Caenorhabditis elegans: one gene and its partner. The protein of the gene in region 2 interacts with the protein of the main gene of each other region in a biochemical or structural test. Each region holds a gene or a part of one and is shown on either strand. Other genes may lie near its edges. The genes, in order: let-363 and pgl-3.

Region 1 (3,919 bases), on a different chromosome or scaffold from region 2:
TTAATTCAATGTTTTACTGAAAACCCATGTTAAAAGTATTAAAACTTGCTATTGAAATTTTATCTAGAAAAAACTATTTTTTGAATTACCTCTGCTATGGGGGAGGCAATTGTGCGGTGGAGCGCACTTGCCGCCCATTTATTATTTTTTGGCAGCAAGGTTTTCTCCAAAATATTCTATTTTTTAATGTTTTCTTTTGTTTTTATTGAATATTTTGCTCTTTATATATGCAAAATTTTGATTTTACCAATTTTCATTCTTTGAGGTTCTTCAAATCTACAATGTGGCGTAGTTTACCGAGTTTGGTGTCTTCGGCTGTTCGGTTAGTTGATAAATCGAAGTTTGTTGAATTCCAGTTAATTTTTGCTTCTTTTAGATCACAAAATGCCGTCAACACACGATTTTCCAGTACAATGAAACAATTTTTCGATGATGAAGCGAATTTTGGAAAAGCAGAGCTCCGCCCGAAACATCGGCCGGGCAGATCGTGGACAGCAGAAGAACTGAGATTAAAAAGCAATTCAGATTTGCATAAGCTTTGGTAATTTAATGGCAATTCGGTTTTAAATTTATTAAAAATTTAAATTTAAGGTATGTGTGCTTGAAGGAGCGAAATATGCTGATAACGATGAAAAAAGCGCACACTTCACGTGCCCGGAACATGCCAAACCCAGAGAGACTTGATCGTGTTCATGAGGTATATTTTAAAAATTTAATAAATGCAAAATGATATATTTCAGACAATGGATCGTATAGAATCAGTAGTTCACGAGCGAAATGATGCGGTCTTCCGTTTGGAAACTGGAGAATCCGCGGCTCCACGCAAGAGAACAATCACTTCATTCGCTGGATTTACATATCAGTGAGTTCCTGATAAAATTAATTTTTTTAAAATAAAAATATGTTCCAGAAAACAAGCCACAGAACACTTTGCACCACCTCAACTCGGCCAGAAAGAATACGAAACTCCATATCTCGACGACGATGCCTACGTGATGCAGAAGCTTTGGCAGGAAAAAGAATTCATGAAAAATCGAGATAGATTGGATGATGAGAAGAGACGAGCGGCACGAACAGAAGACATGGACAGATTCAAGAGAGGAGCTCCACGAGTTTTCAATCGATAAAAAGTTGTTTCTAGATATTTTTTTTGTTTTCGAGTAGGCTTTTAAAAATGTTGTTTGCTTTGCTTCCTTCCTCAGTTTATTTAGTTTTTCAAAGAATATCCATTGTTCTTTTTTCTTGATATTTTGAAATATGCAACGGGTTTTGTCAGCCCATAGTTATCTGATATTACAAAAGGCTCCGTGTTGTTCTCATATTTTTCATTGAAAATCCCTTGATTTACATAGGAAAAAAAACCTAATTTTTAGCTGAAAAAAATTTAAAAAGTGGTAAAAAATTACCTGAAAGTTGTCTATTATCGAACTATCAAGCTATATTTTTCTGAAAACGGCCAGTTTTGAGCACTTTCTTGATTATTTCAGCTGGAAATAATTTTATTTTCGGAAAAAAACCAGTGATTTTCTATGCTTCTGATCATTCTCATAACTTTTTATTCTTAACGTAATTTTAAGCCCACAATGCACTAAATCGGCAGAAACATCTTTGAAAAATGCTCCAACAACACGGAATTAGTTTTCAAATGAATGCCGATAGACAGAACAAAGCAGCCACAACTTCCAATCGAATAGTCTCCGCTCCAGCTACAAATGAATTTGACGAGCGGCATCGTAAAGTTAGTATTTCTTCTCCTTTAAACAATTTTTAAGGAAAAAAAAATCATATTTCAGCAAGGGATTGATGCTGCAAGAGCTCTTGCTTCACAATATCGGAGCCGAATTACGGAAAATAGAGATGCAAATCAACGACAGGCTGCTCGAGAACTCAGCAGGTAGTTTTTTTTTTAAATAAAAGTCAATAAATTAAATATATTATTTTCCTCAGATATGTTCGAAGTGAGCTGAAAGACGAGCCAAATACTTTTAGTGATGCTTTCCTGAATGCAATCGATGGACGAACAGATATAGCCTCTCAGAGTGCAATTTATAATTGTATGAAGTCGAATTCAAATATCGATCAGAAACGAGCCGGTATCTATCTCATCGTGTGCTTAGCTGAAACTCATTCTGGAAATGTTATTCGATATGCGAATTATCTTCTGAAAATGTTAAATAATGGAAATGGATTAGATGAAGATACAGTCAAGATGGCTTCAAAAGCTCTCGCTTTTCTGATTGCGGTAAGTAATTTAATTTTTTTTAAACCAATTTTAAACATTTGCAGACTTGTAAATCATACGCGGCCGAGCTGGTTGATCGTTGTCTTGATCATTGCCACGAATGGCTTGGTCAAAATGTTCCACATAGTCAGCAACCCAAAAATCAACAGGAAATTGATCAAATTCGTCGACTCGCCGCTTCACACCTCTCTCGTGAGCTCGCACTGGCCACACCGACAGCATTCTTTCTTCGTGTAAACTTATTTTTCAAGTATATCTTCAACGCTGTCAGAGACAAGAATCCAGCTGTAAGAATCGCCGGAATTGATGCATTACACGTGGTTTTGACAATTGTTTCACAGCGTGAAGCAAAGAATAAAACTGAGTGGTTTAAGGTGATCAATTAAAATTTTGATCTTTCGTTAGAATGATTTTATATTCCAGAAATGTTTCGATGAAGCACTGGAAGGTCAACCAAACCCATCGCAAAAGGACGATTTGGATAGATGGCATGCCGTCGCCCTGATTCTCAATGAACTTCTTCGAATTTCTGATCAACGATTCGAACTCATCAGATGTGAATCCTCACAGTTTATTAAACAAAAGTTTTTGAAAGAAGACGAAGAAGAAGGTGTTGAATGGCTTGTCCTAACTAAGTAATCGATTCTTTTTCATCTATTTAAAAACTTGTATTTTTAAGGCAACAAACTATTGTGGAAAGTGTGACTGCTCGAAAGCTGGTTTTGGAACGATTTCCGAAGGTAAAAGCTGAAATTCTTCATTTCCCGAAATTTGTTATGTTTTTTTCCAGATACTCGATTGTGTTCGTCAGATAATACCTCTCGCAAACAAAACTTCATCCACGAAACAGCAAAGCTCGATTTACCTGAATACAGTTCTCATGCAGCTTCTACCAAGAATTTGTGCATTTCCACAATGTGATCGAACTTTTCAAACAATCTCATTCGACACTTCATTTACTATGTACGTAGAATGGAAGAGGACTGATGTTTATGGGCTTTTAGCTTTTATAGACTCGAAATGCGCTAAAAACGAATTTTGTAACGAGACTCAAAAAAAATTATGGTGATTCAAAATTTCCAATAATGTTCAATTTTTTCAGTCTTCAAAGAAATGCGGTCGCTGCTCCAGCAATCGGAATGATGATGCTCTCGAATCCAGATGTACATGCCACACATATCGAGAAAACAATCAGTTTTATCTCTGCTGCTATCAAGTAAATTTGAAATTAGTACACTTTTTTTAATAGTTAAATTTTGTAGAAAAACGACGAATTCTGATGTTCTCGATAATTATTTCACATTCCTGTTCCTATTTGTGGATGCTTATCACGAACAAGTGACGACACAAATCAAGGCAATAATTCCACAATTAATGGATATTACCCTGTCTCGATCGCTGGCAAACGTGCTAAAAATGATTATGATGAGAATTCCGAAACTGCGGCTGAATGTTCAAGATGGTGTTATGGCTTCTGTCTATCAAACACTCACTGGATCTCTAATTCCACCAAAATCCGAACCGATTGGAAGGCCTGCGAGTCCTAAAGCTATTTTGCAGGTTTGTTTCGTAGAGAAATTTTATAATTTTGCTCGAAGTAATTTTTTTGAATCTGAAAAGCACATAACATTTTTTAAATAAAGATCAGAATCCCATCAGATTTAAAAACGCTTACAA
Region 2 (3,919 bases):
ATCTTCTGAAAATCGGTTATTATATTAAATACAAAATAAATTTAAAAAATTGTTACCGGTGGCAGAGCAACAGATTTTGTCGGAGAATCCCAACCATCGCTAGAAAATTGAACAGGTGAGGCAGTTGATGGAGTATTGTCATTCTTCTCCGCATTTAGTTTCTCCGGAATGACATCATGGGCAGCCACGGTAACACTTTCTCCGATGATCTTTGCAGAATTGAGCACATTCGCCAAGTCTGTTCCTTCACATGGAATCGTTTGACGACTGAATGGCATCTTTTCAACAGTTACTACTTGAGCTGCAGTAGAGACGGTGGTCGGTCCATTGGAAGTTGTGGTCTGTTTTGCAGTTGCAGAAGGTTCCGACGAACTGCTCTTCTCCAGAGATTCAATGATACGATTCACGTGATCTTTAGAATCCAGTCCTTGGGCGAACTCTGTAAAATTTATTCGATTAAAATAAGAAGCCTTTTTGCTTACTTTTGAAGCTATCAACAAGAAGATTCTTGGATTTTGGGCTTAGGAATTGAAGCTGATTGAGTGATTTCTTCTCACTCTCCGATCCGTAGAACTCTGTGATCCACAATGCAAATTGGAGAGCATTATTCACATTCTCGATGACAGTTTCGTTGTTCAACTCGCTTTGAGGGAGCTGAAAAAGGAAAATATTGATTATAAGTTCACGTGAAGGAATAATTTTACCAGTGGGATTGGTTGAGAAAAGCACTGCTCGAGAACAGAGATTCTGAACTTTTTCAGCAATTCAGCGATTGCTCTTCTTCTCCACGTGCTCTCCAAGTCTTCAGCGAGGCCAACAAACGCCCAATCCTCGAATGACTTCATGGCTGAAAAAGAAACTGTTCAAAGAAGTTTGCAATCTTTGTAACTAACATCCCAAAAAGACTTGAATGATATGGCTTGCGAGGAACACGGCACTTTTGAAAACACTCCGTTGCAATCCGGGAAACACTTCCGCTCGGACACTCGACGGCATCAACGATTGGATTGTCCTGGAAGCATCACGCTTTCCATCAGCAAGTGAGCGAACGACGAGGAAAATCAATTGATATCCTAGCTGAGATTTCAGGACGAGTGATTCATCATCCTCGACGGCGCTGGCTTCTTCGAAGCGAGCAACGATGTGGGATACAGCTTTTTCGATAGATTCTTCTTGTGGAGTTAACAGAAGTTGGGTGAATGGGTCCACAGAATCAATCTTCGGTCCCTCGATCCTGAAAAACACTCCTGAGACACACAACATTAAATCATGATAACCTACATCAGCTTCTTCAACAACGGCTTGCAGGCCTCAAACGCATCTGTGACGTTGTCACGGATGATTTCAATTTCTTCCTGGAGCTCCTCCGATGCAAATCCAAGCAGTTTTGCCAAGACATAGACGTCGAAATCAAGATCCAAGGCGCTCGACAGTTCCGAGAGCTCGACAAACTTCTCTTCCGCTTCTTCCGCACCGAGAACTTTGAGCAAGACTTGCAGAATCTTGGCGTCATTCGACTTCTTTAGCTTTGTTTTTCGGGCGAGCATCGAGATTTTCTTTTCATCATCGATGATTGGAGCCAAATCATGAGCTTGTCCAAGCTGACTCAGCTTCTCAGCGCCAGAATCGAACTTTGGTCGCTGAAATGAATTATTAATACAAGAACATTTCGGAATTAAACCAACGAAGTCATCCCCGAGAATAAGGCAAACGTCCATGCCAGCAGCAAGCACGTAGGCACTGGAGTCATTTGGCAGGATCATCTCCGCAATTTCTTCATTGCTTGGGCGTTTGTCGGTGGCTCCCAAGACGAAAGCTGCAAGCTTGTTCGCCTGTAAGAAGAATATTTAACAAAAATCCCAATAGTTACAGTCAAACCTGTGCTATGTTGTTGACCAACAGCTCGTCATTGCTCGCGAGGTAATGGGCGAGATGGGGGAAAAAGTAGGACTTAATCCCATCGACCTCCACAATTTGTCGTTTGTTTGCTTCCATGTGAACTTTTTAATCACGAATAACACTGAAATTTTACGTGTAAAATGTTTAAATTCACCAAATGATGATTGAAAATAAGAAACTTCGAGCAAAAACACACAAAAAACTTTTTAAAAAAATTGACTTCTAAATCATCGAAAAGTTCGTGGAGGCTTTTCCAGTCGGGACCCATCGCGTGGGAAAAGGCGTGCGCCTTTAAAAATTAAATCAGTTTTTCAAAAAAAAATCTAGAAAGTTCTCTGAAAGTACTTTTCATTACCGAATTCGAAATATTGCGAGTAAATTTAAACAGAATTTGTTGCTTTATTTGAAAAAAGATCTGAATATTGCAAAAATTGCAAGTTAAGCCGATAAGTTGTGTATTTTAAGAAATCGAGCTTGATCAGTCGAATGAACTTGATATACAATTTTTCCAGAAGGAAAACAACAAAAATTTCCAAACGGTGAAGAAGACTGTCTGCTAGATGTTCCGGGACTTTATCTATCTTTTCCCGCTGTGAACACTGTTCCGAAAATCTGAAAGGTTTTGAAAAGACGAGAAAACGCTGAAACTTTATGCAGTAATTGGTTCATTGATAGGAATTGGTTTGTCAAAGGAACAATAAATAATGATTAGATGCAAAAAAACCAGTATCTGGGACACCTACAAGAGGGAGAGATATAATACAATGGTGAGATCGAAATTAATTTGATTATTCACACAATGTGATTAGGCCTCTGGGGCGGCGGCGGGAGCTTTCTTGGCTGGCTTGGCAGCGGCCTTCTTTGGAGCGGCTTTCATGGATGAAGACTTGGCGATCTTCTTGACTGGAGACTTGGTGACCTTGTTGACTGGAGACTTGGCGATCTTCTTCGGCGACTTGACCTTCTTCACCTTGACTTCAGTCTTCTTGGCCTTGTCTCCAGCGGCGGCCTTCTTGGCGACGGTCGTCGTAGCCTTCTTCTCTCCAGTGGCGGCCTTCTTGGCGACGGTCGTCGTAGCCTTCTTCTCTCCAGTGGCGGCCTTCTTGGCGACGGTCGTCGTAGCCTTCTTCTCTCCAGTGGCGTCCTTCTTTGCTGCAGCTGGCGACTTGGCCACGGAGGCTGTCTTCTCGGCAAGACGGAACCGTCCGTTGGCTCCATTTCCGCTAGCCTGGACGAAGGCGTTACTTTCAAGCCCCTTGTTAAGAGCTTTGCGGAGGTGAGCGTTGATCTGAAAGAAAGGTAAATTTAGGGAACGTCATCTCTACATAGTTTTTTTTCTGCTTTTCTGTTCGGCAATTTATTATTTTAAGAATTTTTAGGTTAAAAATGAAGTTATTGTAATCAAAAACCTGGTCAAAATTTTTCAGAAAAATTGATTTGAATTTAGCTTTTCTGCTTTAAATAAAACACATACCTTGTTAGCCTGATCTCCAAGCGTGTATTTTGTAGTGATATACTTGAGAATTGCGGCTCTGGAAGGTCCTTTGCGGTCCTTGATGCTGCTGATGGCTTCGGTGACCATATTGATGAATGGTGGATGGGCGGCATCGGCCTTGACCATTGGCACCTTGGTAGTCTTGGCCTTCGTAGCTTTTGAAGCCTTCGTAGCTTTTGAAGCCTTCGTAGCTTTTGAAGCTTTCGTTGGGGCTGCTGGAGTTTCGGTGGTGTCGGCGGCAACGGCGACGTCAGACATTGTTGAACGGATGAGTAGTGGTCACTTGGAGAGTGAGTGTGAGAAATGAGCGCGCGCCATCCTTATATACTCGCGCTCTACCACCCTGTCGGGACACATCTTGTTTGGCGCCGAATGCGAAATGGCGCGAAACTTGAGGGCACTTGACTAAATCACGCATAACTTTCTCGGTTCTTTATGAAATTGAATTTTCTTTTCAGAATCTTAAAGATGAATAGTTTAGCAACAAATTAAGCCAACAATCGATAGAAATTACTCTCGAATTGA

What was found.
Region 1: of the proteins of pgl-3 (region 2) and let-363, one has a biochemical effect on the other in vitro, tested with the Caenorhabditis elegans proteins (one study listed by BioGRID).

Annotation. Positions count from the first base shown.
Region 1 is NC_003279.8:5,244,166-5,248,084, forward strand, and holds the start of let-363 (Target of rapamycin homolog), read left to right. Parts: upstream 1-1,577; 5' UTR 1,578-1,615; coding exon 1,616-1,738; intron 1,739-1,793; coding exon 1,794-1,894; intron 1,895-1,947; coding exon 1,948-2,242; intron 2,243-2,286; coding exon 2,287-2,616; intron 2,617-2,665; coding exon 2,666-2,877; intron 2,878-2,921; coding exon 2,922-2,982; intron 2,983-3,032; coding exon 3,033-3,205; intron 3,206-3,344; coding exon 3,345-3,458; intron 3,459-3,504; coding exon 3,505-3,802; intron 3,803-3,919. Other genes in the region: mrpl-47 (Large ribosomal subunit protein uL29m), read left to right, coding at 228-322, 377-541, 592-697, 741-862, 911-1,127. UniProt on the Caenorhabditis elegans protein: Serine/threonine-protein kinase that regulates the mRNA translation machinery, probably by modulating the activity of translation factors such as eIF-4G and eIF-2. It may have some protein kinase activity instead of lipid kinase activity.
Region 2 is NC_003283.11:4,754,086-4,758,004, reverse strand, and holds the start of pgl-3 (Guanyl-specific ribonuclease pgl-3), read right to left. Parts: upstream 2,021-3,919; 5' UTR 1,996-2,020; coding exon 1,879-1,995; intron 1,833-1,878; coding exon 1,686-1,832; coding exon of another isoform or gene 1,682-1,685; intron 1,641-1,681; coding exon 1,282-1,640; intron 1,235-1,281; coding exon 894-1,234; intron 848-893; coding exon 705-847; intron 655-704; coding exon 483-654; intron 440-482; coding exon 57-439; intron 6-56; coding exon 1-5. Other genes in the region: hil-4 (Histone H1.4), read right to left, coding at 2,705-3,187, 3,374-3,652. UniProt on the Caenorhabditis elegans protein: Guanyl-specific endoribonuclease which cleaves the phosphodiester bond in single-stranded RNA between the 3'-guanylic residue and the 5'-OH residue of adjacent nucleotide, resulting in the formation of a corresponding 2',3'-cyclic phosphate intermediate.